Coturnix japonica: one gene and its partners. The protein of the gene in region 3 interacts with the protein of the main gene of each other region in a biochemical or structural test. Links are inferred from orthologs where the notes say so. Each region holds a gene or a part of one and is shown on either strand. Other genes may lie near its edges.

Region 1 (9,703 bases), on a different chromosome or scaffold from region 3:
TATTAACAAAGTTTCACAACTACCCCCATCCCAATTCAATACTCACGCCCTGCACTGATTTACAAACATGGAAATCCTGAAAGAGATCAGCTCTGGTGAAGACTCAAAGTATTAAGAAGTTCTTCCAGTTCCCACCATGTCCCTCATTGTGCCTCCAACCAGCCCAGTCAGCCAGGCTGGCCAAGTGGAAAGCAAAAAAAAACAAACCAGAGGCCCAAGCTGTTCAGAAACCTATAGGATGTTTTGAGTTTGCTAGTGCTGCCTTTACAACACATAACTAGTTTTATCTAAGAATAAACGATAGCAGAGCAGCTGAAGAACCCAGCATACGCTCTTCTGATGTTATATCTTTGTGACTGCATCAACTCCCCACCTCAAACAACATCAGCAGAAGAGAACTTCAGAAAGCAAGTCACGTGTTGTTTTTTTTTGCATTCCCTGGTGAAGTAGTAGCAGAAGGAATATGAGAAGCAAACAAACCTCCACAAATCATCAGGGGTTCGTAAGTAATGGGCTGTCTTATTTACAGCAAACCCCCCAATAATTTATAATGTGGTTATTTAGAATGTACTGTGTTCAGTGTGCCCAATGACTCTCAAAAAATACCCAACCCAAAAGCAGCTATATAACGCTTACTGATTCTGCCAAGCAATTAATAAAACCCACAATCCAGTGGTCTGAACCCTTTACTAGCTGTAGTAAAGCAGTAGCTTTTAAGAAAAAGAAAACCCTTAGTAAGTTTTATTCATATTTACACACATAGAAGTTTTTGCATTAAAAAACCCTTGAAAATGAATTCATCTGTACATAACAAGAATATTTCCAAGAATAAAATCTTAAATCCACAATTTATTTGAAAAACACTGTATTAAATAAAGCAGCATTAAAATCCAAAGAACGAGGATGAGGATGAAGAGGAAAATAATGAACCAACAACATTTGTGTTCCACCCTTCCCATACATCTTCTGTGCCAGTAGAATCTTCATGATCAGTGTAAACCGAAAAACCTTTGAATTCAGATTTTATTTCACTTGTCTGAAACAATTCCAGCAGGGTCTGCACTGGTGAGCTACAAGCCCTTTTCTCACTGGGGTCAGACAGTCCATCTGCGTACTTCACGCATAACTCTATATTCTGTTTCCGGCTTTCTCTTCTATTTCTTCCTAAGCAAAGCTTTACTTTCCTGTGCAGCTTTCCAGATGGTGAGCAGTGTGCAGTGTTGGCAGCCAATTCATTAAGTTCTTTGTTTATAGCAGACTCGGATACCTCAGCCTCCACAACTGCATTGTGCTGCATCTGTTGATGGTTATCGCATAAATCACGATGTTTCTCGACACACGTAGGATTGGCATCTGTTTTTTTCAAACATTTTGCTGGTAGAACTACTGCATGATTTAATTTTCGTTTGGGCTGTGCTGAGTTTTTGTCTTTTTCACTAAAATCTGTAACTTGAGTGTGAGAATATAAAGTACACGCACCTTCCTGAAAACGCTGTAAACACTTTTTATTTACTTCTGCTTCGAGTGTTTCTTTACTGAATGGCTCAAAATCTTGATGGAAGTTCTCCATACACGATTTACCATCTTTCTGAGGAAGTGGTTGTATGAAATTTGGTGACTGTCCTGGGTTTGTGGCACAGAAGCAATCAGTTCTTGTATTTTCACCATTATTACCGAATTTACTTCTTTCTTCTGGAGGCTGAGACAGATGACAATAAAGAATTGAACACAGAGATGCAGAAATAGGGGGAGGCACTAGCACAGAATTTGGTTGTACTTCTGTAGGCTGACGATCCAGTCTGAGTGCCTGCATTGCAGTATCTTTCCACAAGTAGGTTTTCAATGAAACGCGTTGCTTTTTGAGTCGTTCTTTCAGCTCATCTGGTCTCGTTATCTTCCCAATTATAGGAGAAAAATATCCTGTACTACATTTTATCCTACAATTAAATTGTTTATGATGATTAACAATCAAATGGTTGGAAGAAAGTAACATAATTCATTACGCAAACAGACCTAGAAAAGCAACTAAACTGACGAAGCAATTTTTGTTCTTTGCATTCAAAAGAAAGTTAGGATAGAAATATTACTTCTGCTGGAACAGAGTACCTTGTATTTGAATTCAACGTTTTACTATTGATTTCTACATCTCATGAAGCTGTTTGAAAAATACACAAAGGTAAGCAGTCTAGTATTTCAGTAAGCTTCAGTCACAGTGCTACTAAGTACAAAAGTTAATGAATGCAAAGCAATGACAAATACCTGTAAATATTTTACTGTGTATACACACAAGCTTAGCTCAATTATATATTTTTTCCCCCAGGATAACATTATAGATTGCAGACAATAACCTAGACTACATGTTAAAGAGATCAGATTGACTGAGGAGGTTATTATTTGTTCGTCTCAGGCTACTAAGAACATCAGAAAGTTTTTAGAGCAGACATCCAGGCACAGCTGTCCTTCCGTCAGCTTTATCTTAGAGTGGTTGACAACTTGCTTTTCTGAAAGTTACGAATAGGTTGAACAACTCCTGTAAAGTCTCCTTAGCCCCATATTCCTGTGATACAATACTCACTAGTAGTTTTTCCTTCTAATTTCGGAAACTACTGCATTGCAAGTTCCAGTGATGTTCATCAGAATGAAAACTATGAATTTGCTCCATACCAGGTTCAGAATTTTGTAACTAAAGTATCTTTAATGTCTTAATTAACAGCAGTTTTAAAATTAAGAATGTGCAACTTACCTTTTCATGTTTTTCTCATCATCCCTGTATTCAACAAACTCATTAACGAACTTGGAGATTATATCATCAACAATTTGGTACTGTGAGCTTCGTGCAAAGTTCTGGTGCTGTTCACTTTCAAGATGCTGGAATTAAAAGGTAATAAGAGTAATGTTACAAATGAATACATAAATCAATATTCTGACATGGAGCAATAAGTAAATACTGACAATTTATTGTTGCTGGAATAGAATAGTTCCATTTCAAAGGGATTCACAAAGATCACCGAGTCCAGCTGTCAGACTACATCAAGGCCAACTTGAAGCCAGAAAAAATCACTAAGAGCATTATTCAAATGCCACTTAAACACAGATAGGCATGAGGCATCAACCACCCCCCTGGGAAGCCTGTTCAGGTGCCCAATTGCACTTTTGGTAAAAAAATGAAATATATATTTTCTTAATCTCAACTCTGAATACTCCCCATGACACCTTTGAGCCACTGCTCCACACACTGTCAGTAGATACCAGAGAGAAAAGATGAGCACCTTTCCCTCCACCTCCCATGTTCAGGAAGTTAAAGACAGTAATAAGATCATTCCTTAACCTCCTTTTCTCCCAGCTTCACAAACCTAGCATCTTCCTCATTGCACCTAGCCCTTTTAACCAGATTTGCTGCCCTTCCTGGGATCTTAGTAACCTTTTTGAACTGTGCAGCCTAGAACAGCACAAAATAATCCAGGTGAGGCCACATTAATATTAAATATATCAGAATAATCACTTCTTTTAACCATCTGGCTATGCTGTGTTTAATGCACCCCAAAGTGCAGTTTGCTCTCTCTGCTGCTGGGGCACAACGCTGGTACACGCTGAGCCAACTGCCAACCAGAACCTCACCTGCCAGACAGATACGGTCACATTCACTACAGCCCCTTAAGCCAGTTCTTCACCCAGTGCACTGCATACTTATTTGCCTCATAACTGGAAAATTTGTCCCAAAAAATACCACGAAGAACAGTATAATCAGTCTTGCTAATATCCAGAAAAACCACATTCAACACATTCTCTTCATCCACTAAACAGGTGATCTTAAAATCAGTGTCTCTGAGACAAGAACCATTAATGCTTTCAGCCACCATACCCAGAGGCAGCAAAACAAAACCTGAAATAGAAAATGAAAAAAAAAAACCTTTACTTGCTGCTTTTTAGGAAATACACTCAACAGGCCTTTTAGAATTAAATAAAATAATAAGATAAGACAAAAATTAGAACAGCAAATAGAAATTGTTGATTCTACTGTTTTAAAGACGGTTTGAAAACAGTGTATTTCATGTTCCACACGTACAGTTTGTAGATCTTCATATTTCTTCCCACAGCATTCACAATATCCTCTCCTTTTTTTGTCCTTCTGATGAAGCTGAACAAGAGTTCTACAGTCCTTGTCACTATTTATTTTGTTTCTGCTAAAGAAAAGATATAAATTAATGAGCACTACACGTAAGAGCTGAGTTCTATAAATGCCTCCTACAAAACATTCCTTTTCACTCTTATCATTTAAAGCAAAAGAACATCTTCATTTCTTCTCAGACTACTTAGACCACCTCAGTTACTGCTCAGGAAAATTAGAATAGAAATTAATGCACTCAAAAAAATAATAAACAAATTACTGCAACAAAACAGGCATGTCCACTGGAACTACACACGTGAATAAAACATCCGGGTTAGTACAGATATAATATCACTGACTCAGATTAAGCAATGCTGAACTTATAAAACAAATCTGACTTGTCAAATCAAAGGATTTGTTGAAATTTCTTTGTATAGCTGGTAAAAGGAGGTTTGATAAAATCAAAACTGGGGAAAAAAAAGAAAAACATCTTCTAGCATCTCATCTCCTGTCGTTATTTTTGATAAAGTATTTGGTATAAAAGATGACCTTTCATTCTTCAATAAAAGGTAAATAATACTCCTATTTGTTGGTTATATGCAGCTTTTGAACATGTTGATGTTCAAAAGTTCATGTTGATCAAAAATCATCATGATGTTCATGAAATTCAAGGAAATGAACCATAAGTTCTTCCAGAAAATTAAACCACAAAGAAGCTTTCAATATCTGTCCCATGACCTTCAGTGTCCTTATCTGGGCAGAGCTACCATTTGTTGCAATTCACTACCAAGCTACCCTCCAGCACAGCAAAATCATCAGTTCCTAATTTCATTTTACTTCAAGAGAACAGTGCCACCTCCCTGTCTAGTCAAAAATCGTATTGCCAGACTCCACCAAGTATCTGCATAGATGTTTATATAAAGACCAACCAAGCATTTGTTCAGATTCCAGAGTCCACTTTTAATACTGCACTAGCTTTTTTGCTTCTACCCTTAGGAATGTAAAAACCTACTTAGAACCACTTAAGGCTTGCAAACAACAAGAGAAAAGAGACAGAATTTATTATCTGAAACGTGAATGATTGCAATCTTTCTGCGTATAAAGCAAGTAAAACTGACATCATCTTCCACATACCACTATTTCAGATAAAGATAAAACAAGCAATCATTCTCACTTTTTCTTTCTTTAGAAACAATGACAGTCATCACTTTTAGCTGCTGGCTATGAAATAAATAAAACCCCACCTAAACATCTCTGGCATGTGACAGATTGAAAGATTAATGACAAATATTAATTTGAACACAATTCCTGAAACAGAACTAACGCACTGTATTTCTTAATCTATACATATGAAATGACTATTGTACTCTTCATTTTAAAAAGCGTTTAAAGAGAACAGGCTGTCCTAAGGCCCCTTTGAAGAGACACCATCAGAAACACACTGCTTAGTGCAAAGGTTACTGCACTAGTACGTTGCTACATTCATTTATCACTGTAACATCACCTGAAAACTTCCAAGAGTCTAATAATAGTTTAGACTGGACAAAATCTGGACAACACAGGAACAATTTATAGAGAAAACAAGTATCACACCTAAATAAGTTTTAGATTCAAAGGTCAGAACAGCAGCTAAAGTTACCAGACACAGAAATTTTCATGTAAATCAAAGCTGCTTTTCACCTAAATGTTTTAGCCTCTGCTATGAATCAGTTATTGAAGTCAAACAGACATTTGTAGTCTCCATATATGCAAGAAAAAAGAAATCAAGGACACCAGATTCCCCCAATAAAAGAAAAATCATATTTGAAAGTTGTTTCAAATCATAAAATTGATTTATCAAATGTCTTAACTGCAACCGCAGCACTCAGAGCCTGAATGTCAAACCATATCACATAAACACTTACTGAATGACAAACTAACTGCAACTAGTATCTGGTTTTCATCTCTGAAGCAATGAAGCAACATTTGCAATGTTCTCATTTCCATAAATTTAATTGTGCATGTAAGGAAGATACGCTCCTTAACAGCAATGATTTTGCAATATAACTGAATATCACTTTTAACAATTTTTAAGTGCTTTCCTTTTAGCTTTTTACTGACAAACATCACAGGAAATCTTAAGAAATACACTTCTTATAAAATACTTACTGGATGGCATCCAAGATGTGGACAAAGAAAAAAAACAGTGACAGAAAGGAAAAAAAAATCTTTTATGCTGACCCACAATGATAGGAAAATGCTGCATTTTTGGATGTATGCATTTGTGTGCCCCAAAAAAGAACTAAAGGCAGGATAAAGAGGGTACAGATGGACAGAAACAGTCACAGTGTAGCAAATGCAACAGTCCAGATGTAGAAATTAGTATTAAATATCACAGAAATAAGAGGCAGAAGAATTTTTAGAAAATAATTGTTTTACAATTGTTTTAGAGAACTTCTCTCTCCACTGTATACAGTGCAAAAATGCATGACAGACAAACCTTTGCTTAGACTGATTCTGTTTTTGACTGGAAGGATGCTTCTTATCCACCTCAAACGGACTACAAGGTTTTGGAACACAGAAGTTGAGAGCTGGAAAACTCGGTAACTGCAGATAGAAGGGTCTGTAGGAGCTGTGTTAAGACAAAACAGGTGCATTAGAAGCATCAAAACAACCAAACAGTAGTTTATACTACAAACTATAAATAGGTCAAAAGGTCTTTGAAAACAAGCTTCTCTTTCACATGTAATGTACAAAAAAATGCTATGCAGATAAATAACCTAGGAAAAGTAATTTCTTTCTTCCTTCCTCGATACCTCCTCAAAATAAAAAGTTTGCCTTGAGTTTTCAGAGCTGTCAAGCACATTCCACAACTATGGCTGTCTTTAATGCAGTAGGTTGTGGAGATCTGCACAACCAATACAATTAACAGCAATTTGGATGAAAGTAGATCCATGTTCCTGAGATACAGCAGTTCCTACCTCAAAATTTTATTTTATTTTTTTCATTTTATCAGTTTCTCCCTTTTTGAAAGGCTTCCAATTCATCATTAAAAACATTTTAAAAACTGAACAATAAATTCCCAAGGAAGCAGTTTTTTCCTGCACAGAAACATACATAGAGAGATAATAAAACTAGCAAGTACACCAGCACTCGCATGTATTAGAAGTGTCTGAAAAAGGTAATGACAAAATTCATATAATTAAATCACTTGCTACAATCTTCAGAATCCAATATGAAATTAAAATTCACACGTCTCTACATTTTGTGCTTGAAAATGCACTTGTCCCACTCTCCCCACTGCTCTCATACCCATCACACCAATTCTTACCAGCACACAGTATAATACTAGATTCAAAATTCCCACTCATGTTGCTATAGTTCATTTTTACTCCCAGCTTCTGGCAACCTCTTTACTTATTGAGGAGTTACAACATCAGATCCAATCGGTTACAAGCTCAGAAAAATGCAAAAATTGTCAAGTCTGAAAGTATCAGATCTTATGATCCAACAGATAATGAAATCATATTAGCAGTTGTGTTGTTGTTGTATTTTTAAGTAATAAATCACTGAAGCATAAATTCAGCATAATTCCAAGGAATGTTTTAAGGCATAATGACTTCTTTTAAAGTCTCTCAAGACGAACACTAAGAGTTAGAACTACTATTTAATATAGAAACCTTTATTAGCCTTTTTGGCTACATGAATTGGATCTAAAAACAGGCAAGATGTCAGGTTTAAAGTTTCCAGCCTTCCTCCTTTTAATTCATCTGGCTCTAAGAAGAAAATAATGCAGACCAATCCCCCTCTCCTGATCTATAAATTGCTATACATTAACTTTTCATTGCTACTACCCATCACAAACATTTCCCATCATACTAACACCTCTTTCACTTCATTCACAGGCTAAACATGGATACCTACCCAGACCACACAGAGACTGAACAGTATGTCTTGCCCTTAAAGTCAGTAGACCATCAAGCCATACTACTTTCCTGAATCTCTCAGTTTGAGAACTACATTGAAAGCACACAGAACACTCACCGACTTCTATCTTCCACCTTCACAAATGGATTTTTCAGTCTACCTGCTCAAGGTAGGAAAAAAAGGAAATTAAAAGAGAAATATTTTTGTTTAGCGAGTTTACTAGTTGTTGAACAGATAGGCATTATTTTAGAACTCATTATGTACGTGCTTTGACAAACACAATTTTCAAGACACTTCCTTAGACCTACAAGTTAGAAGACAGTTTTATATTTGATCCATTTATAAGCATTCAGAAAGTTCAGCAAAACCTCTACAAATACTGAAGTACTTACTTTTGGACTTTTGTGCAGGAACTTGTTTTCCCTGTTGAAAAAAAAAAAAAAAAAAAAAAAGGGAAAACAGAATTCCTGTGAATATTATATTTCACATTTTATCTCAGTACTTGATTTTAACTCATGAGGGTCTCCCTATGACAATCATGACTTATTTACCGGAGTTGTGGTAAATTTGGTAGAAATCAAGCTCGTCAGGAAATAAATACAGTCCTGTTTCCTAAAGCAGCACTTATTTATACGCTGCAAAAACAACTGATGTCATTGAGGTGATGGTCTTAAAATCAATTCATAAAATGTACTAGTCAGTGAAAAACAGAACGTGAGAAGGACTTGATAAAATAAAATCTGTATGCATCACAGTAGGCCATATTTAATATGCCTGCCTTCTATCATTTAATCACATTAGCTTTTACAAATGGCTAAAACCCACTTACCACATCTTTGAAAGAACTGCCTGTGCTTTTGATTAGGTAGAGCTCCTTCTTCTTTTGTTCAATGTAATGCTTAACATCTAGTAAAGAGAAAATTATATTTAGCTGAATTTATTTTTGCATGTTTGAAGTTATTCATCATTTTTAATATTTATAACTCAAAGAAGTTTAAAGAAAACGTTCAATTAATGCTTCACCAAAGCTATTTACCATCAACATGAAGTACTTTCACACCCCAGTTCAAAGCATTGGACAGTATGCTACCAGAGGGGATTAGTTCCTGTGAAAAGAAAAAATTCTCATTTTCAGCAGTAGATCAAATAAACTGTCATAAATATCAATATACTACATCTTGTAATAAGAACTATCTTATGAAAGCTGAGATCTGACTGTAGACTATTTACTTCTTGCCAAAATACTTACAAATATCCTCAACTGACTTTTCCATCTCCATGTCACTGCACTTCACTTATCAAAGGATTACAGTTAACATCTCACAAAGCCAAGAGCCTTCTCTACTGTCATACTTTATAGTATGCAATACTTGAAGACAATGGATTTGTACATATAATTTCACAAGCACTTCTCAAATGCTAGATACAATTACAACCTTGATAAAATATAATACCGATTATAAGACTATAAGACATTCAGCTCTTCAGGAACTACCCAGAAAACATCATCTGACAGTTATGCTTAGAACAATTCCCCAATTCCTGCCTGAACATCCCATGAGACACCTCCGTCTTAGACCCACCATCATTCTTACTAGTGCTTGTTTTCCAGAACCACAGGACCAAAATTCCTCAAGTACAAATGTATGGATTACTCAACTTACCTGCTCTCTGATTGCTTTTTCAGCT
Region 2 (10,216 bases), on a different chromosome or scaffold from region 3:
ATGGAGAAAAACCCGAACAGAAGGCTTATCTAACAACAATCATCTTATTGTAGAATTAAAACTAGTACCACTTTGTTGTTGTGGCATTAACTGTTTCATACACTTATTTATTTTTTGTACTGATAATTGAATCAAAAGAATGCTTGAAAAATTATACTAACTTGAAAAAAAAACACAACTTGAAGCTTCAAAATATCTACTGGATATTAATTTTTGTAACCACTAAAATACGAAGTACCTTTTGTTGATGTTATGATTTAGGAGAAAGATTTGCTGTCTTCTGTTTTAAAAATTGGAGCTCCTTGCCGATGAGTCTTCAGTACTTTCAAGACAGGTATCTGTATGTAACAGGAAGCTTAAATATTTCATCTTCTGAAAAAATATCTGTTTTGCAGCTCTTTAAACAATCAAAGGTGATCGATGTTTCATCTAGGAAGTTAGTAACAAAGAAGAAGATTATTTCTACCAAAGCCATGAGCAATGGGCTGGGCAGGAAGGCTGCCAGTGGTTGTCCATCAAACCTGACCTGTAACTGTTACGCAACGGACAGAGTTTGCAGTGTTTGCCTTTCAAGGTAATTTGCTTCAACAATGCTGTAAAATTGCTTACTATGCTGCCAAACAAGTTCAAAAAGCTTGAATTAACCAGACAGCTGATTTAGTAGGTGAAAGACAGCATTTGATCTGTGCAGCCCTTATGACACTAAGTGAGCTCTTTAAAAGGAACAGTTCATGGAATTTGTGGAGTCATTGGTTCAGTGCTATTTGCAGCAAGAGATTCACTGTTATGATTTTCTGTTGCTGTTGTGTTGAATTATTTGCATTATCAATATGTGTTGTAGAAAATAACCTCAGTTAGTTACAAAACAAGAGTAGAAAATAATCTGTCATTGATCTAATAGGCCTAAATTATGCCAACTGCATTGAAATTCAGTGATTGGACTCTTGCTTTCTGAGAACTTAAGGCTAAATACATTCCCCAGGCTGTCTGTATTCTGGAAATCATGAAATGTAGAATAAAAGGGGAAGATAACAGTGCTGCATTTCTCAATTTGAAACATTTTAATAGTGGATAGGCCAGAGAGTCTAAATAACTCAGTTCAAATCCAGTCCTTTGTAGTTCATTTTGGCTATGATCTACCCTTACCTTTCCTGTCCACTTAGGGAACAGAAATTCCTGCAGAGAAATCTGCTTGGTAGGCGTAGTCATGAAACTGTGGTACTTCTCTTTCCTGACTGTCAAAATATGATGTTATCAAAGTCAGTTCAGAAATGAAACATGGGGAATTTGCTAGACTCAAGAAACTTGGCCTGCAGACAGAAAGCACTTTGGACCTTCTATACATTTTTAATAACGATCTCACACTTTTTAGTTAATCTAACAAGAAGTAAATTCTTGTCAACACTCAGAAATAGTGAATCTTAGTTTGCTCTGGATTAATAAAAAGCCATACTGTGCACACCCAAGAAACTAATGCATTTTTTACCATTGGTTAATTAGTCTTAACTTGAAAGTTCCCTATGAAAACACGTGTTGTCATTGAATAAAACTGAAAATATTGTGACTGAAATATGCAGTAAATACTCCTTCTACACATTATAACAAGATCAGTAATATAATAGGTAATTATAATAAGGTTATTTCATATGAAGTAATAATTATATGTTAGGTAATTGTAAGATATTTCAGACATAAAAACTGAATAGGGCAGATTTACATATCTCACAAAAGTATATTGTAAAAATAGTAGATATTGTTATAATTAGAATTTATTTCTCAATATGGATATTCTGAACATATTTGTCTCTTACTACAAGGTGTCAGCAAGTTGCTCCCAGAGCAGGAACACCTGGATTCAGAGCACCAGAAGTACTGACAAAGTGCCCCACTCAGACAACAGGTACAACATAGCAGACAAAAACTAAATGCCTTTCTTTTTCTTAAACCTGTCACTTACGCATTGACTTTATCTTTTGTATACCAGGCTGTTACACATGAAATTCATTTTCTTATCCCTTCTAACATTTATGAACCATTTCCCAAATTTAATTTGAAGTTAATTACTCCGAATAAGAAGGATCGAGGAATATTTTCCCATGTTTGAAATTTGAATGTCTGTATCCCTTTGAGGGGTACTGCCATACGCAGGAGTTCAATAGCACGTGTTTTAAAAGAAAACAAAGTTGTAAGTTTTATCAAGTTTCTTGGCTCACTGGCTTATTTATTCAAGAAAAATCTTAAATAAATCTTAGAGGGGTATGCTTTCTAGACAGTTTGACACGTGTATTTTGCTGTCTTGGGCATAACTAATTGTATCAGTGCAGTTTTTTATGTTTTTTATGATGTGTGTCAGTTAATTGGGACTTTTCACTGGATTTTTTTTTTTCCTTTTTGCTAATGCTTTAAATAGATGATCTGTAAATGTCATGATTTTTTCTTACTAAGATTTTTAGTTTCTCAGGGCTAAAACCTACATGTTTCAGTAGCCTGGTAAATATTGGAGAAGAACTAAGGGATGATTAATGCCGTAGGTGATGCAAGTAGGCTGGGAGAAGCTGTGCATACATGAAGAATTAGAGGGCTGATACAAAGTTCAATGTGTCACGTATGACCAGAAGTTTTGATTATGAAAATGAAGGATAAATACAAATGTTCTCAGAATTTGTATTTAAAATAAGTTTATAGCCATCTTTTTGCTTAGCACTTTGTGAGCATATAGTCAATTTACAGCATTTGAAAGTTCTCATACACACTCAGAGCAGCCTTACAATACGTTTGATCAGCATATCAATTGATAGCTTAATGCTATTTGAGGCAGGATCTGTGTTGTGGGCATGGCTGGGATTTCAAGAGGTATGGCAGCCTACTTGGAGTCACCGTGCCTGTGCAGTAACAGCCAGCTTTATGAGCTAGAAAACATCCAGAAATCCAGGATAAGTTTAGACAATCCCTGAATCCGTCTAGACAGAATTTATGCAGAAAGAAGACATACTTAAGAAATCTTGGACAGAGGGTTGTCTTAAGTGTGCTTTCAGACAGTTCTCTGTTCTCTAGGGTAATGGAGGGCAGGACTACAGAAAATATGGGTAGATCTGGAAACCCTTGGGTGTGGCCCTAAAGGTACTGAGTCAGTGGTGCAAAGCTTCTGTAATACGTCAACAAAGTGCTTCATTAGAACCGGGTAGAGTAATACTAATAGAGATAATGCTGTACTTGAGCTAACAAATCTCCTTACCCAATAACATCTGGGACTGCTGTAGTCACCTCCTTGTACTCCTGCCAATCTTGCTACTAGTTTTGGTCTTTGTGCCAGGACCAAGTTATCAGCTGGATCCAGCTGGCTGTCCAGAGCTACCTTAAGTAACTGAGCCATGTTTAAAGCACAGAGAACACAACCCAAACCTACAACTTGGCCCTAAGCAGATCCAGTTACAATTTTTAACTTGATTTGTTCCTTAGTTTCCCGTTAAGATGGCATCCCTCTCTAGCTGGATACTAACCACTAGGCAAATGCACAGAGAGGAATCGTGATTTTGATGTCATTGCACAAGACCTCTCAGTCTGCTGAAGATGCCAGCCCTATCAGAACTGGAGGACATGCTTGTCATTTCAGTATCTAATTGTCTGACAATATCAGGAAGAGCTAGATAAACATCTCTAAAAGCCTTCACCTTAATGACTGTCTTTCCCAACCACATACTAAGGGTGATGCGTAACACCATAAGCAGGTGGTGTGGTCAACATCAATACAGTACTACTAAAACTTTTTCAATAAAAATAAGACGCAACATTTTTGCACACTGAATTGTTATACCCACAAATAATTTGGATTTTGATTTTTATAAGACTTAAAAACCTGTTTGTTTGTAGATCAACTTAGTATTTTCAGAGCTCTTTGCCGATAGTGTTTCTAGCTAAAATGTCAGACTCAATTACTGCACATTTTACTGCCTATTTCTGGAAGATGTGCAGGATGACTATAGCTTTATTTCCCAAGTTAATTTCTCTCTTTGGAATTAGAGAGTCCTTCAAACTCTCTCCTTCACTTTCCTTGCCATCTCTCAAAATGTGCAACTTCACAGAAAAAATTACAGCAGCCAGGTATTCCCATAACTTTCGGTATTAAAGTTTCCATCATGCTTTGGCTTCTACCATCAGAGAACTCCCTGTACTCTTCATAACACAATGAAAGTGATGAATAACTGTTACAGCTCTTAAACAATCTCATCAAGTGGTTTCATATTAGAGAGCAACCAAGTTTGTAGTAAAACAAACCTTTTAGTACGCCTAACTGGCAACCTCAGTCCAAAAGAGGTAAGATTTACATTCAATCCTGAATTACTTTTTATTCATGAACTTTTATATAAAGTTTTCTCAGTCTAAGCAAACTTAATGTAGTATCAAAACTAGCTATTTTTCCCCTCTCAGCTCCCTGGTCAGAATAACTTCAAACATTGTTTCAGTGCATTTTTTTAAAGCAAATTAATGAAATTACTCATGTGAGAAATCCTATAGACAATTCTATAGGCTCTGTAGAAAAGCAGTCATCTGATTCTATTTGCAAGTATATCCATTTACACTGTTTGCTGAAGTGTTATCATTGTGACCGCAGCCTGTAAGTAATTCAGAACATTACCTTCTCTGATAACTACACTTCCGGTTGTAATTTAAAGAATTCGGGATTTTGCTTTTGATGAAATTTTACTTGTTTTACTCAGTTACTTGTTACTAAGCTTGCTTTCTATTGCAGCAATTGACATGTGGTCTGCAGGAATTGTATTCCTTTCTCTGCTCAGTGGACGGTATCCATTTTACAAAGCAAGCGATGATTTAACTGCTTTGGCACAAATCATGACAGTTCGTGGATCTCGAGAAACCATTCAGGCTGCTAAAACTTTTGGTATGCAAACCTTAATTATGGGGAGAAGGGGAAAAATGTATGCCTGGTCTGCTGTTTAATGCAATGATTTACAATCTAGTTGTGACTTGCGTTTATTTTAAACAAAATTTTAACTTTGGGAGTCACTTTAGAGTTAAGTCACCCTTCTTGCATGCAAACTAACACTACTTATCTATATGTACGGAGGTTTAGGAAAGCTTTCTAATTTTCTGTCTTTTATAATTTTTTACATGGAGTAATTCATTCTGTGGATTTCTTAACTTTGCTGCCTTTCAGAGAGTCAGGGCCACTTGAGGTGAAATATGCCAGCTAAAACTTTCCTACTTCTTAGAATTCTTGAAGTAATGTTTATTCCTGCAAAATTTGCCACAGAGCCTTAAGTTGCATTGACTTAATATTTACATGATGCAAACTTTGCATTTTTGTCCAACTTCACGACGGGCAAGCACAAAAACATAAACAACCATTTTCCTCATTGCCTGCAAGCCAAACATTAAAGCACTTGGTACCTGGAAGTATAAATGACAGCATCGATTTTAATTCTCCAGACGGAGGTGTATAAATCAATAACATAAGCAATAAACTGAACTGGGTTTTTAATTTGCAGTTCTGTTAAGATGAGAGTGAAATGGAAAATGATGCTGTGTGACGATTTGTCAACTCATAACTTCATGAAAAAGCACAGTTCTGTTCTGAGCAGAGCTACTGCTGGCTTTTGGGGGCCCTTACTGTAAAACATGGCCAGTTTGTTTGGTTTTTTTTTTAATTATTTTTGAACTAATGTTAGTTATGCTTCAATACGTGAAATTTCTCTGAAACAAACTTAAAAGTTGTAGTTGTAGAGCAAGCAAAATAAAACGTCACTGACTGTAAAACCTGTTTTTCTCCTAGGGAAATCAGTTCTGTGTACCCAGGTTGTCCCAGCACAAAACTTACGAACTCTCTGCGAGAAGCTGAGAGGAACAAATAGCAGCTGTAACAGATCCCACTGCGATGTGCCCTGCAAATCTGGAGACGACTCAGCTTTGCCAGTTGAAGTAGACAAACAATGTGCTCCTGAGATACTCAGAAAAGAAACTCAACACTTAAAGAGCTGTCAGGAAGATGACGGTGCTTCAGAAGATAAGGCAACAGACATGAAAGGATGGGATCAGGTTCCTGATGAAGCATATGACCTACTTGATAAGCTACTAGACTTAAACCCTGCAACAAGAATAACTGCAAAAGATGCTTTGCTGCATCCCTTTTTTAAAGACATGAGGCTATGAGAAGACGCCTTGTTCTGCTCTTGTACGTTTTATGTGAAAGTGAGATACTGAAGGAGTTTTAATCCATTGCCCTTAAACTCATTGAAGTACCATTACACTGTGCACAGCACTACTGAAATTGCCTCACAGGTGGACTGCAAGTGCAACTTCTTAAAGGAAGCTTACAGATGTCAATATTACATAAACATTACTAACGCAGTCAAATCCTAAGATGCTTTTGAGGTGTTGTTACAGTGCCTAAGAAAATTAACTGTGATTTAAAACTGTAGAGTTTCTCACACTAAGGTTAATTCTTTGATACTCTCTCAAAACAGAAATTTGCATTAAGGTATGACTGAAATGAAAAAGTGCTCGAGAGCCTTTTTTCCATAATTGCACACCCCCGCTTTGCTCCCAGTTAATACCTGGGAGACTGAAGTGCACTGATTTTGTTCAGGTGGTTTTTGGAGAACAGCTTTACTTTGGGATTGTTGCTGGAACAGGGGCAGATAGTGCCGGTTTTGTCATCAAAACAAAAACATCACTCTTTTAAAAGTTCTTTTTTTTTTTTAATCCTGTCTGTTCCTTCCTACTTAAGCAACAGTGATAAATGCAGTTAGTCATCTTGCATAGCCTGTATTTCTTCAATGCCACTGTTAGCTGTAAATACACAACAACTGTTGCCTTCAGAATGTCTTGTGTGACACGTATATGTTTGATTTCTGTTACGGAAACTGATTTTCGCAGAACATCTTTTAAATAAAGGGTTTGTTTTTATACCTTCAGAAGCGTGTCTGGAGATGATTCTATAAAAATAGTTAGGTAAGGTTTCCCTGTGGGATACTTCTGTTCAGGAAGAATTATGCAGCTTTCTTTTCTGCATAAATTCCTCAGTGATGTATGATGCTTTTCAGACAGCACTGGTATATATTGCTGTCACAGCGGAAGTATCTTAATTATCAAGGAAATCTTACTACCTCACCTTAGAAGCAAGCTAATGTCTGGTCATAAGTAGGAATCCCCCCCTTCCCAGTACCCTCTAGCCTCATGAATTCATTGCACAGTTAGTCATGTTATTCTCAGCATTTGCCTCTCTAGAAACCCACGATACTTTTGGAGACTGAAATTTAATACAGTGTTTTTCCAATTACATTTCTTGAAACGTTCGTGTGGTTGTTGCTATAAATGGTTACAGCCACTCCAGGAAAAGATCACTGCTCTGATAACTTTTATATAAGCCTTTGCAGAGAAGCTGGTTGTTACATCATGACCAATGCTGTGGCTGAAGGGCAATTATTTCAGTACATTCAAAATCTCCAATACATACAAAGTGATGGTAATATTGCCCTGTCCCTGCCATCAGCTGATAGAGAAAAATATTTGTAGATGTCCGAGTACTGATGGTGGGTGTCAGAAAGAAACCCACAACACTCTGGGGCCCAGGTCTTAATAACTTATGCTGTTTAATTTCAACCCAGCATGTCACTGAGAAATTATTTATCTAGAGCAACCATAGCCAAATTTGGCAAGTGATGCTGTCTGCCAGTGTCTGCAGATGTATTGTTTCCTCCTACGTTCACTCATGCCGCCTGTGCTCTTATGAGAGCACTAGCTGACGGAAAAAAGTGCCAGCTATCTATTGTGAGCTAAATCACTTCGGCTTTGTCAGCCCTCCTGCTCACCACTGCACTGAGCAGCTCCTTGCAGCAGGCACTGCATCATTAACCGCCACTTAAGTTTACTAATCAAAGCAGGTATATCACTGCTGATGGTGCTTTTACTGTTATTGGGGGTAAATAAAATTCTGAAAGTAACACTTCTAAGCTTAGATTATTTGGTAACAAGCTAGAAGAAAGCATTGCTATTCTTCCTCCCGATAGCTATTTATTTAAAACATGAGACGTTCCCTGGGAGAGGGATAAAGCGAAAAAAAAAATGCTTGATAAGATACATGACTACTAAGTGCTGATTCTGGAACACTATGAAAGCATAAAAACTAGAGGTAAAATGTTAAATGCAATGGGTTCTGAACAGGGAGACCTGAAGGGAGAAAATAACTAAGCACTGAAGGCACTTAAGAGAATGACAGCATTTAAAATGAAATTCATGTCTTCTATGGCTTCATATATTCTTATTCCACAACAAAACAATATTGTATCTGTTGGTAGGCTCATAGCAAAGACTGTTTCCTGAGACATTACTCAATATTTATCTATCAAAGTTGCAGTGGGTCCCTTTTCAAATTATTTATTTTCTTTTCAAACTCTTATCACCTAAAATTAATTTTACTACTCACTGGAGTAGTAAACACAGTTTTCCTCCAACACATCCTTATCTAGCTATGAAAGTCGTCTCAAACTTGCTTTCAAAACTCTCCAAGGATCTATTCTGCCCTCTGATATCCAACCCATTTCCATGAGCTGCCTTAGCTCCTCACAGGGCTCCTTTCATTTCCAAAAGGGTATCTTAGTGTAGGAAGGTGAGACACTCAGACTGGGGTGGCTTTGTTCCTCTAGCACTTTTTGTTATGGATTTCATTGAGATAATTGATCACGGACAATTCATGCAGTGCAGATTAGTCTTGTGTGAAGCTTACAGCTAAGCAGTTTTCACCTGCTGGGATTCCCTGTGTGTGTATTTTGGCTTATGTTTTCCATTGCTGGTCTGCTTGCAACTGGCTCTGTAATCTGAGCCACATTTACCATGAGTAAAGTAACATGTAGTTTAAATTTATAGGTATTTCCCCCAGTTGTTCTTGTAAAAAAAAACCCACAGTGTACTGAATATTCACTGACAGCCCATTCTCAGAGAGGAAAGGATCAAGTTCCCTGCTGATCACTACTCTTTTCCTTTGTTAAAATCAACTATTTGATTAATTTGATGTGTTGTAACTTCAATATGGTTAATCTTCAAACAGCCAGAAGAATAAGAGCTGCAAAAAGCTTGGCAAATTATTTTGGGGATGGATGAAATCGTACTGGACTAACACAGCTCCAGAACTGCATTCTCTGGCCTTCTTTCAGGCCATATAAAATAAAACATTCCTGTGAAGATTCATTTCATAGAGCACACAACAGTCACTCCTCCTAGGCAACTTAGACCCTAATGAATTTGGTAGGAAGGACATCACTTCCCTCTCCTGAACCACATACCTTCTGTGATCGTATTGCTTCTAGGACTCTGTACTGGCTTTAGACATGCTTCACTCTGCCTGTGGCCTGCCTATAGAACATAGGGTAAAAAAAACAACACTACCAAAACAATTACTCTTCAAGTATTGACTGTCCATAAATGTGGTTTGTGAAATGGTAATGTTTGGTTATATAATGTATTAATTATTCAAAAGGAGTAGCTATACCACTTACAAATCACAGAGGGGAGCTTCCAGTCTGGCTCTGCCGTGGCCATGCAGGGCTGAGGGCAGAGTGCAGGGAAATGCTGGGTCCCCCACTACACCCCACCCTCCTGGCCCAGGGAGCAGCCATGTGGAGCAGCAGCCCTCCCTTTCTCTTCCCACTAATCATTTGCAGTTTACCAAACTGACAAACAGAGGGTAATAAATAGCTCTTAAAGATATGCAGCTTATTTATCAGGAGGAGCAGAGCTGACTGCAACAGTACAGGATTTTTTGCTTATCAAAACAGGCAAAGAACTGAAAGATGGATGCTAACAGATACTGCAATAAATTCAAACTCCCATCAAACAAACCTCAGCAGCCATTAACGTCCCCAGCTCCAAGGGAGTGAGATCTTCCTGCTGGCCTGTGCTCCCACACTAGGGTGACTGTTCCCTTGATCCACACCACGTAGCCAACTCCTGCTGGTAAATGACAAGGAAGACAGTGTGATCCAGGCCTGATTTCTATTGGTTCAGGAGGAAGTCTTTATAACAGCAGTAAAAATGGTTGCTTTTTCCTTCCCCTTTCCTTTGACTTCTACGTGGTCCTCCCTGAAAATGCATTTATTAAATCCGTAATATGCAATTAAATACCCCAGACCTAAACACAAGATCTTTAAGTCAAATCTTTAACAACTCCTAAGATCGTCATCAACTCTTTGCAAACTTGCTG
Region 3 (10,216 bases):
TCCTGCCCGGAGTGTCAGTCTCTTGGTCCTTTTGAAATCAACATGGAAGAGGTAAGAGTTGTGTGTGCCTGGGAGCTGCTTAACTGCACAGATTAAGCAGGCTGCTGGTCCTGCCCAGGCTGGACAAAAGCTGTCCAGCTGTCCTCCTTTCCAGGTTAGGTCAGTCTTTCCAGATCTACCAGCTAAGGAAACTAGAGGACTGCAGTAAAATCCCTGATCTGGAGCATCTGGCTCTTATTCATTGCCTTAATATTTTTAACTATCGTGAGTGGAGTGTCTTTCTCCCAGGAACTGATCCAGGTTGGACAAAACTCAGTGATCAGATGTGGAAAAAAGATCTGTCAACACTGTTGTCTGTCGCAGTCTGGAGTTGCTCCTGTCAACCTCCATCCTCCTATAATTTTCTAGCCAAAATAAAGTAAATCTTTGAACAGACTTTTTCCAGCAAGGTGCCTTTTAAAAGTGGTTGTGCCAGTGCCATCCAGGCGTGCTGGTTAACTTTTATTTTCCTGCTGCAGACGGTCTATCAGAACTATCAGCGCATAAAAATCCAGGAAAGCCCTGGGAAGGTGGCTGCTGGCAGGCTGCCCCGCTCCAAGGATGCCATTCTCCTTGCTGATCTGGTTGACAGCTGCAAGCCAGGGGATGAGATTGTAAGTACACGGAGTGAGCACAGAGCACTTTTAAACTCTGACTGTAACATCAAGGGGGGCATCAGTAATTATATCAGAGGAAAAGGTGGGAAGATTGTTTCCAGATGCATTTGGGCAGCTGCTCTCAAGTCTGGTATCTTAAAATGGAAAGAGGGGGCCTGTTTGATACCGTGCAAGCACTGACAGACCATCTCCTGCTTCCCAGGAGCTCACAGGGATCTATCACAACAACTATGATGGCTCTTTGAACACTGCCAATGGGTTCCCAGTGTTTGCAACTGTGATCCTGGCCAACCACATTGCCAAGAAGGACAACAAGCTGGCTGTCGGGGAGCTGACTGATGAGGATGTGAAAATGCTTATGGCTCTGTCCAAGGATGAGCAAATTGGGGAGAAGGTGAGTCTGTCGCTAATACACCCTTCTTTTCCTGCTGAGAGCCAGCCATCATCTGGCAGTTGGATCAGAAGGAGATATGAGGTGTCATCTAAGCTGAACACTGGGTGCTCTTCTGACTCTCCTTTCCTTGCCCTTCTGGAGATCAAATTTTCTGTTTCTCCCCTTCGTCTGATGCTCCACCTAGCTGCAGGGCTGAAAGATGGGTGAGATGTGAGGATACTGCTTCTATTTGATCATTAGTTTATTTTGCTGTATTCTGAAAGCAAACAGCAAGGAAGGGTTCCAGTGCTTGCAGAACTGATTCTATTGAGGAGATGTTATTACCTAGCTAAGCTGTGCTGGAGATCTTAGTCTGTCTCTGCATGCTGAAACCTGAATACAGTACTCTGAAAAAGGCTTCTGGACTGGTGCATGTTCAACCTCACTTGACTTGAGTTTAAACTCTCCAGTGTGGAGACTTCACTCTGTTGCCTTGGCTGCACAGTTTTTAATAATGACTGTGTTGTTTCTGGTGGGTAGAGTAGCTCCATTTTAAGTCAGGACTGTTTTAAAATCAGTAGTGTCCAGCATCAGGCTATTATCAGAATACGCATGAGATAATAAGCCTATTGTTCATTGTATTTGATCATGATTCACATGTAACACAGCCGATTCAACGACTGTCATGTGCAGTAAGTAGGTCACAAACTGAATCAAGGTCTCACACTTTGCAACAGGTGATAACAACCACTATGGTGTGCAGCTGGAGTCTGGAGGCAGTGGCTGCTGCTTCCAGCACTAATCTTTACATTCTCCTGTGATCAACTTTTTGATCTGGGTTGATAATTGCCTTTGGAGAATCCTCCTCAGCAGGGACAATAAGACTCTTTGGAGACAGCTCTATAGTAGTGGCAACCATAGATGAATCCAGGCTGGTTTTCTTGCTACTTTCTGCCCAGGATGGGAAATGTTACTCACTAGATAACTCTGCTTTTCCTTTCAGATTTTTGCCAGCATTGCCCCATCTATTTATGGGCATGAAGATATCAAGAGGGGTTTGGCTTTAGCTCTGTTTGGCGGAGAGCCCAAAAACCCAGGTGAGTGTAGCATGTTGCAGAGGACTGATCCAATGGATCTGGGTTTGTCAGTGCTGTTGCAGTGAGTGGATAGAGTTGTCTGTGTTTCTTGGTGACAATGAACTGACTGAGGGAAATCTCTGATTGAAGTGGCTGTTCTATCGCACTGAAAACTGGTGTGAGAGTAGAAAAGCAAGGACTGAAAGCAGCTCCTGCTGCAAGCCTAGGCGTGATTTTATTTCCCTTCCTCTAGAAAGTCGGATTTGATGCCCCTTTAAAGGTTTGATCTGTTGGTGTCCTGATTTGTTACCATTTTAAAAGAATGCATTCAGCAGGGTTAGAAATGCTTTTTTTATGCTCAGTTTAAAATGCTGCAGTGGAAAGGAAAAAGCTCTGCTTTATTCCCACTGCTTATGTGCTGCTATATTTGATCCTTCAGTACTTTTGGTTCTCCTTGGTGTTCTAAACCGTAACAAAATCTGACAACAGTTATGTCTGATTTCCCTCAACTTTCCTGTAAAGCAGTTTCTCTGCATATTCTGCCTTCCCTTCAGCTTTGTGTGGTATTCAGGGTAGGGCTGCTATCAAGCCTTGTGTAGATGACTGAGCTACTTGTGTGTCTCCTGTTACTGTTGTAGGTGGCAAACATAAAGTCCGTGGGGACATCAACGTGCTTCTGTGTGGAGACCCTGGTACTGCAAAGTCACAGTTTCTTAAGTACATAGAGAAGGTGTCTAGCAGGGCCATCTTCACCACTGGCCAGGGTGCTTCAGCTGTGGGTCTCACAGCTTATGTCCAGAGGCACCCAGTCAGCAAAGAGTGGACTTTGGAAGCAGGAGCCCTCGTGCTGGCTGACAGAGGCATCTGCCTGATTGATGAATTTGACAAGGTGAGTCCCAGCTGCATCTCTCTGGGAAAGCAGAGCTGTGGAGGGGCTGGCCATAATCTCTGTGATGAGGACTTGTGATAACTTGGGGTTCTATCTGCCAGCAGACTGGGCTTCCTGCAGTTTGTTTAGGCCCTTGCTGGTCTGCATAGTACAGTTTGCTATCTCTTCAGAGTGTAAAGCTAATGCAAGCTAATTCCCCTTGGTGCACTGGGCAACACTGACTTGAAGTGACTCATTGCTTTCTTGTAGATGAACGACCAGGACAGGACCAGCATACACGAAGCCATGGAACAGCAAAGTATTTCCATCTCCAAAGCAGGCATTGTTACATCCTTACAGGCTCGCTGCACTGTAATTGCTGCTGCCAATCCCATAGGTAAGTGCTGAGAGCCACAGGAGTACTCACGTCTCCATATCAGTCCTGCTGTCTCAAGCACTATGGTGCAGCTTCCCTTTCTTCCAGTCTGGAACACAAATCAAGCAAGCAGTAAAGGCTGTCTGTGAAGTAGATCGATGTTTACCTCAAAGCTTCAGCCCTGAAGCCTCTGGTTGATGTTCAGGTTTGTCTCTGCTCCAGGTGGTCGATACGATCCATCATTGACTTTCTCAGAGAACGTAGACCTGACAGAGCCCATCATCTCTCGATTCGATATTCTGTGTGTGGTTAGAGACACGGTGGACCCTGTGCAGGTAAAATCATGCTGTGAATGTGCCTGTGCTGGGCTGTTAGGATGCTCAGCTAGTTTTGCTGTCTAGTGGGTGTCTTCACTTCTTTTACTACGCTGTTCTTTTGTAGGATGAAATGCTTGCCCGGTTTGTTGTTGGCAGCCATGTCAAGCACCACCCAGGTAGCAAGGAGGCAGTGAATGGAGATGCCAGTGAGGTTATTCTTCCCAATACATATGGGGTGGAACCCATTCCCCAGGAGATCCTGAGGAAATACATCGTCTATGCCAAAGAGAAGGTCCACCCCAAACTCAACCAGATGGACCAGGACAAGGTGGCTCGGATGTACAGTGACCTCAGGAAAGAGTCCATGGTAAGAATACTGAGGAAAAAGGGGGAATAAGTGTGTATCCAGACTGCAAGTCAGCCTGTGACTGCTCCAGCGTATGTTGACATGTTCTAGCTATTCATTTCACAAGAGTCTGTGCCACTTCTTTTTGTGAGAGACGGGCAGATTCTACAGTATCAGGCTGAACAGATGATTCTTCAGTTAGATGCAGGGTCTTGCTTGTAGATGATACATAGTGTGATGGACTGGATGCATATACTAGGGTCTGCCAGAGCAGAGCCTTTTCGTTGTGACCCAGTCTGGCAGGCCCACAGGAGATGTTTGCATTCACTCAGATCCATGTGCTTTTGCTGTTACAAGGAGCTGTTCTCTGTAGAAACATCCTCTTTTATCTGGGATTTATAAGGCTCATTTCACCCTCCCCAGTGTGGAATTTTTTGAGGTCAGACTTCATGAGCATGGGAAATTTTTTAATTGAGGATTGCTGCTCCTGGAAAGCCACTAAATGCTGATAAAGAGGGACCCTGTGTAGCATTCCCTCTTGTTCTACCAAATTAAAATGTAAATATTGGAATCTGTACCACACTGTGCAAGATATGCCAGCAGATGGCAGAGCCTACTTAGCTTTACACAGTCCTTAGGGATCCAAGCACCATCTCCTGCAGTGCAAAGGAGGTCCTGACCCAGAAACCACCATTCTTACCCTGTGTCTTCTGTCCTTCACTAAGGAGTTTCTCCCTCCTCTCCCTCCTTAGGCAACTGGCAGCATCCCCATCACAGTGCGGCACATTGAGTCCATGATTCGGATGGCTGAGGCTCATGCCCGTATGCACTTGAGAGATTATGTGGTGGAGGATGATGTCAACATGGCCATCCGGGTGATGCTGGAGAGTTTCATTGACACGCAGAAGTTCAGTGTCATGCGGAGCATGCGCAAGGTGGGTACAACCCTCTGGGTTGAGCTGCAGCCCTTTTGTTTGCCCTGGCTGATGGAAGAGGATTCTGTGTGCTCTGTAGGAGTCTGTCCTACACAGACAGGTGTTATGCCTGTGCAAATAGAGAACTGTGAGTCTGAAGGTACTGCTGCCTTTCTCTGGTCTGTAGCAGGGCATGTAAGGGTTCTCCTAGCAGTGTTGTTCTGTCAGGGCTGAGATAACAGTGAGAATAGATGTGTCCCAAGCCTCTGTATCCAAAACACTGCTGTGTTCCTTGTTTTGCCACTTTTTCTCCTGTTTTGGCCCAGCACTTCCACTGCTGTCACAGCCAGTGGCTGTTTCTCTGCAGTTTTTCTAGAACTTCTCAGGGGATGGATAATCCCAGCGCAGCTCACACTGTGGTTCAGTGAGAGGCTGCCCTTTGAGTGGCAGGGCCTGGCTCTGAACAGCTCTTGGCCAGCCGTAGCCTGGCATCTATCCACAGAGTGCCTGCCCTCAGTCTGGGCGACTCGTGGCCTCTCTTCAGCTGCTAATTGCCAGCCTGACATGAGAGTCTGCAGGGCACAGGGCAGTCTGGGTTAAGGGATACTGCCCTACCCTTCCCCAAGGGCAGCAAACCTCCGTAGTGGTGGTACCCTATCAGCCCCTGGGAGGCTTCATGGCTGCTGCTGAGATCTCTTCAGAGATTTTGTATGGGTGTCAGCAGCTAGCAGAAATGTCTTGTATAATACAGAGCTGTGTTGTTACTGCATGTGCAGGTGGCAGCTTGGCAAGGCTGAAATCCCTTAGGAGACTCTAAGTGCAGGTGACAGTGGTGTCATTTGATTCCCCTTGTGCTCTGTAGGAGAAGGGATGGTTGATTTTGGGTATGGGAGACCCGCAGTGCGGCATTGGGTTCCTGATCCTCATGGTTTGTCTCATCCTCCTTTCCAGACATTCTCCCGCTACCTTTCCTTCAAGCGAGACAACAATGAGCTGCTGTTGTTCATCCTGAAGCAGCTGGTTGCAGAGCAGGTGATGTACCAGAGAAACCGCTATGGGGCCCAGCAGGACACCATAGAAGTCCTAGAGAAGGATCTGGTGGATAAGGTATGAGCTTATTCTAGTAAGCCTTCTGTAGGCTTGGTTCCTGCTTTGTGTTAGCAGCCTCAAACTGAGGTGTTCTCATGGCATATATCTTCCCAAGTCCATATACCAGATAAACCCAGTGTTACACAATTCAACCCAAAACAAGGACTGTTTCATTTGTCTCTACTCCTGTCTTGCCCAGGAGTACCATATTCTTCCTTCTCAGTCTTCATGCACCCCCATAAAGCTTCGAGGCTGAAGTGTTAAATCCTGACCACACCCTGTCAGAGATACTACATGACTGCCTCTCACTGGGTGAGCTCTGGGATAAGAGCTAGGTTTAAATAGGTATGCTTTTCCTCCAGTGGAAGTAAAAGGACAGACTGAGAGCAGGCAGATGCTGAGCCAGCATCCTCTCTTCACTCAGCTGAGCTCTGCCAATGCTCTATTCTCCTGACCTGCAGTCTCCCCTGGTACTGCAGTTCTGGTTCCTGCTGAGCAGAGATTGCTGACTGACAAATTTTGCTTGCCCTCTGCTGTGGAAAACCACATGGTGCTTATTTTTCTGAATAAGCATTTACCTCTCTCCCTGCTCTGTCCTCTTCCCAGGCTCGGCAGATCAACATCCACAACCTCTCTGCCTTCTATGACAGCGAGGTGTTCAAGATGAACAGGTTCAGCCGTGATGTGAAGCGGAAGCTGATCGTCCAGCAATTCTGAGGCTGGCAGCAGAGCCCACCATGTGCAAAATGAAACCTTTGTGCTTCTGCCCACCTGGCTGTGCTACAGAGCTCACAATCCAGAGGGACTAAGCTACATGTTCTCTCGCTTGCTTTGTGCCTTATGGATTAAGGAACTGCTGAGCTGCTGAAGATATTGTAAATAGAATAGAATTAAGTAGTTAAATGCCCAGCCAACTCTGTTTAGCAGTTTTACTCACTGTTCTGCTTTATAGCTGAGACCAACAGGGAGAGAATTGCTGGCCACGTAGATGGTATGTTTGCTGTTTATTTATCCCTAGTTGTTAAGACCTCATCTGCTGGAGGGATGAGTGGGAGCATTTGAAAGGCATTTGCCTGCCTTATCCATGCCCTATGGTTGCAAGCACCTTCAGGGATTCTTTTTTCCCATCTCTGGTGACTGCAGCCCTCTGAGTGATAATTGAAACTGCTTTCAGCTCCCTGTGAACAAGCCAGCTGCTCAGCTCCAGGCCTTTGCACCTGACACTTCACATTTCCCCAGGTGCCCACATGGGCTGACCTGCTTGGTTTCTGCATGTGAAAGGGAAGGGGCAGAGGAAGATGAGAAATGAAATAAAGCTTTTATAATAAAAACATTTATAATAATAGGGGTGGCATGAATGGGCAGTGGAAGTGTCTTCCAAACATGCAGGGGCAGTATCCAGAAGCATCAGGGAAAGGGTTTCCCCTGACTCAGTTGGTGATAGCTCAGCACAGCTGTCAGCTGATGTGAATCTACAGCTCTATCTGAGTGCTGGCACCTGAACTGAGCAGCACCTCGTATCCTTTTATTCAGATTTTATCTAGATATTTTGAAGAGTAGCAGTAGAGAAGCCGTGAGTTGGAGAAATTAAGGGGAGGGTAAGATGTGGTGATAATTCATATGCAATTTTCTTACTCTGTGCATTTTAATACAATTTGTTTTCCAATACTTTTGTGTTTCCTTTCTCCTTTTCTTTTAAAGTCCTTCAGTTATAGTGTGGAGGTAGAGCATAGCTACGCAACCTGAAGCTGCACCAGCTGCTCAGCAGTTTGCTGGTGGGTTATGGCCTGGGTACATACATCCTGTGGTCTCCAAGTTGGTGGGCATTGCTCATGCAAACAGAGGGAGATGAGTCCTGCCTGTAGTGGTTTCAGCTATTGCATCTCCTCCTTGGGGGTAGATACCAAGACATGACCGTGCACAGCACAGCCACATAAGCTGCCATTCCCTCCCAGCTCTAACCTGGAGTTTTGATCCCACTGTGGGACTCTGTCCCTTAAATGCTGCTGTCACCTCAAGACTGTTCTAGAACAGCACTTATCTGCCACCTTGGCTGGCACTTGGGGATACCAGTCTAGGAGAAACAGTCAAACTTCTCCAGGGTTTACTGAAGTGAATGTGCTTTTTCTGGTTGGATGTGGGGACTGTACAGCATCTCCAGCCTCCTCCTGCCTGTGCTCAGGAGAATTTGTAAGCTGGCTGCTGCAATTTGGTGTTGGCTGAGCAGACACGTCCCTAGCTGCCAGCATTGTGGAGTTTTGTCATGGTGATGTGTGTGTGTGTGTCCCCTCTCAGCCTGGTTGTTGTTCAGGAGCTTGAACCCTGCTGGGGGCCTAGCACATGACTCTCATCTGAAACTGGCTCAGTGTGTTGCCTTTTCTGTCTGCCAGCTCCCTCCTGTGTATTTGTTTAACTGTTTTGGCTGGCTTTTTCCCTTCCCACTGGGTCTCCGTCTACCAGGGCTTTCTGCAGGCAGCCTTCAGAGTCACTTTCCTGGCATGCCCTCCTTGCCTGATCTTGCCCTTTGCTCTCTGAATGTGAGCTTGTGTCAGATCTGTGGTGGGGATAGCAGTGCAGCTGTGAGCCTGGAGACATGGAGTAAGGAAAGCCAGAGTGGCTCCTGAGCCCTGGGCACAGCTATATTAGCACCTCATCTAATGCCAGGGGCCAGGCACAGGGGCAGTCCCTGGGGAGAGCAACTTCACTCACTGCCTCATCTTGAATCTTCACTACAAAGATAGATATGCCTTTCTACCTTGTGTTGCCAGCATCCAGCAGAGCAATGAATTTTTGCAGCTGTGCCCTTGCTAATGTTGACATGAGCCGCTCAGTGGAGTGTTAATGCCAGTCTGAAGGCATGTTCCTCCTCTCACGGCCACTGAGCTTTCCAGGTTCCCTGGAGCAAACTTGGGCTGTTGACAGCATCAGGTGTCTGGTCTGGATGGGGGTGCAGACGGGTGAAAATAGATGCTGCTTTAAGCAGGGGCTGCCTTGCCAGGGGGCATGTTCCAGCTGAGTGTAGCAAGGATTTTCCTGCAGGGCTCTGGAGATATCTAGCCAAGCCACACATGAAACGAGTTGCTCCCCAGACAACCCTGAGTGTAGTCAATCTTGAGCACTTCTTGCTGCTGAGATTTGGATGCTGCACGCTGCCTCTGACCACCTGTGGCAAAAGCAATGTTCTGGGGAGGTGAGGTTGGTCCACAGCAGTTTGTGTCTGGGCACAGATGGAAAGGTGATGGGCTTGCTGTCCGCAAAGCAGGCGGAGCTCTGTGATGCCAGGCAGCATCCCTTTTAATCAGATAGGATTGGAAGAACATCTTGATTCGAAAAGGGCACAATGGGTCAGATCCTGATCCAGTTTAATTTGAACATGCTGTGTTCATGCTCCTGAGGGAACAGCATGGCTCTGCATCTCATAAAAAACTGTTAGTCCTCAGCCCAGTGTGGAGCATTCTGCCTAGATGGAGTATAAGCCTGATCCTTGTGGGTCCCCTGGGACTCAGGATGTTCTGTGATATATACAAATACATACGCTGTATCTGCAGGTGCCTTCAGATAGCCAGCTAATTTGTTAGGGTATGCAAGATGGAAAAAAGGGGAGTTAGAAATCCTTCCTCCTTCTTGCAAGCCCTTTCCTTCTTACTGAAAAGGTTTAGAATCTTGGGAGCTTCTGCCTTTACTGCTACATTTGCAGGTCCTGAGTTGTATCCCATGTACTAGCATCTGTTTGTGAGTCTGCTTGTCAAATGGCAGATGCCCTCCAAGAACAGGAAATTTTACTTCCATTACATTGTATTTTTTTTTCCCCAAATCAATGCCAAAGCCACTTGGAAAGAATAGCACGTACATCATTTCTAGACCAGCATTATTTCAATTTCTCTTATAGCAGACATTGGCTGGAACTTTATCTGTCCATCTCCTGTGTGCTCACTGAAGAGCTGGCTAGAAGCTGGTTATCAAGAACTTTCACAGCACAGCAGAGCTCAAGATAAAGTGGCAATACTGGATAGTGTTACCTTGTCCTAGAGCAGACCAACCAGCTGCAGTTGAGCCAGGAGATTCATTTCTTGTGCTTATGGCTCTGTCTTTGTTCACCACAGCTGATCTGGTCAGGTGAATTCCAGCGTGCAATTGCAGAGCTATTAATACAGTATGGGAATACGTATAAGAAAGTTCTATATCTACAGTTGCAGGCAAG

Evidence for each region. The genes of interacting proteins can lie anywhere in the genome.
Region 1: of the proteins of MCM2 (region 3) and DBF4, one has a biochemical effect on the other in vitro, tested with the Homo sapiens proteins (3 studies listed by BioGRID). The link is inferred for Coturnix japonica from reciprocal best matches to the Homo sapiens genes MCM2 and DBF4.
Region 2: of the proteins of MCM2 (region 3) and CDC7, one has a biochemical effect on the other in vitro, tested with the Homo sapiens proteins (8 studies listed by BioGRID). The link is inferred for Coturnix japonica from reciprocal best matches to the Homo sapiens genes MCM2 and CDC7.

The regions. Positions count from the first base shown.
Region 1 is NC_029517.1:18,961,963-18,971,665, reverse strand, and holds the end of DBF4 (protein DBF4 homolog A), read right to left. Parts: coding exon 9,679-9,703; intron 9,121-9,678; coding exon 9,051-9,120; intron 8,921-9,050; coding exon 8,844-8,920; intron 8,438-8,843; coding exon 8,407-8,437; intron 8,178-8,406; coding exon 8,132-8,177; intron 6,720-8,131; coding exon 6,588-6,719; intron 4,185-6,587; coding exon 4,067-4,184; intron 2,869-4,066; coding exon 2,744-2,868; intron 1,938-2,743; coding exon 884-1,937; 3' UTR 725-883; downstream 1-724. UniProt on the Homo sapiens protein: Regulatory subunit for CDC7 which activates its kinase activity thereby playing a central role in DNA replication and cell proliferation. Required for progression of S phase.
Region 2 is NC_029523.1:12,577,561-12,587,776, reverse strand, and holds the end of CDC7 (cell division cycle 7-related protein kinase), read left to right. Parts: intron 1-395; coding exon 396-574; intron 575-1,817; coding exon 1,818-1,900; intron 1,901-4,750; coding exon 4,751-4,900; intron 4,901-5,791; coding exon 5,792-6,168; 3' UTR 6,169-6,935; downstream 6,936-10,216. UniProt on the Homo sapiens protein: Kinase involved in initiation of DNA replication. Phosphorylates critical substrates that regulate the G1/S phase transition and initiation of DNA replication, such as MCM proteins and CLASPIN.
Region 3 is NC_029527.1:7,357,133-7,367,348, reverse strand, and holds the end of MCM2 (DNA replication licensing factor MCM2), read left to right. Parts: coding exon 1-51; intron 52-518; coding exon 519-653; intron 654-858; coding exon 859-1,050; intron 1,051-2,032; coding exon 2,033-2,126; intron 2,127-2,743; coding exon 2,744-2,994; intron 2,995-3,243; coding exon 3,244-3,370; intron 3,371-3,571; coding exon 3,572-3,684; intron 3,685-3,790; coding exon 3,791-4,033; intron 4,034-4,764; coding exon 4,765-4,947; intron 4,948-5,877; coding exon 5,878-6,033; intron 6,034-6,621; coding exon 6,622-6,732; 3' UTR 6,733-7,683; downstream 7,684-10,216. UniProt on the Homo sapiens protein: Acts as a component of the MCM2-7 complex (MCM complex) which is the replicative helicase essential for 'once per cell cycle' DNA replication initiation and elongation in eukaryotic cells.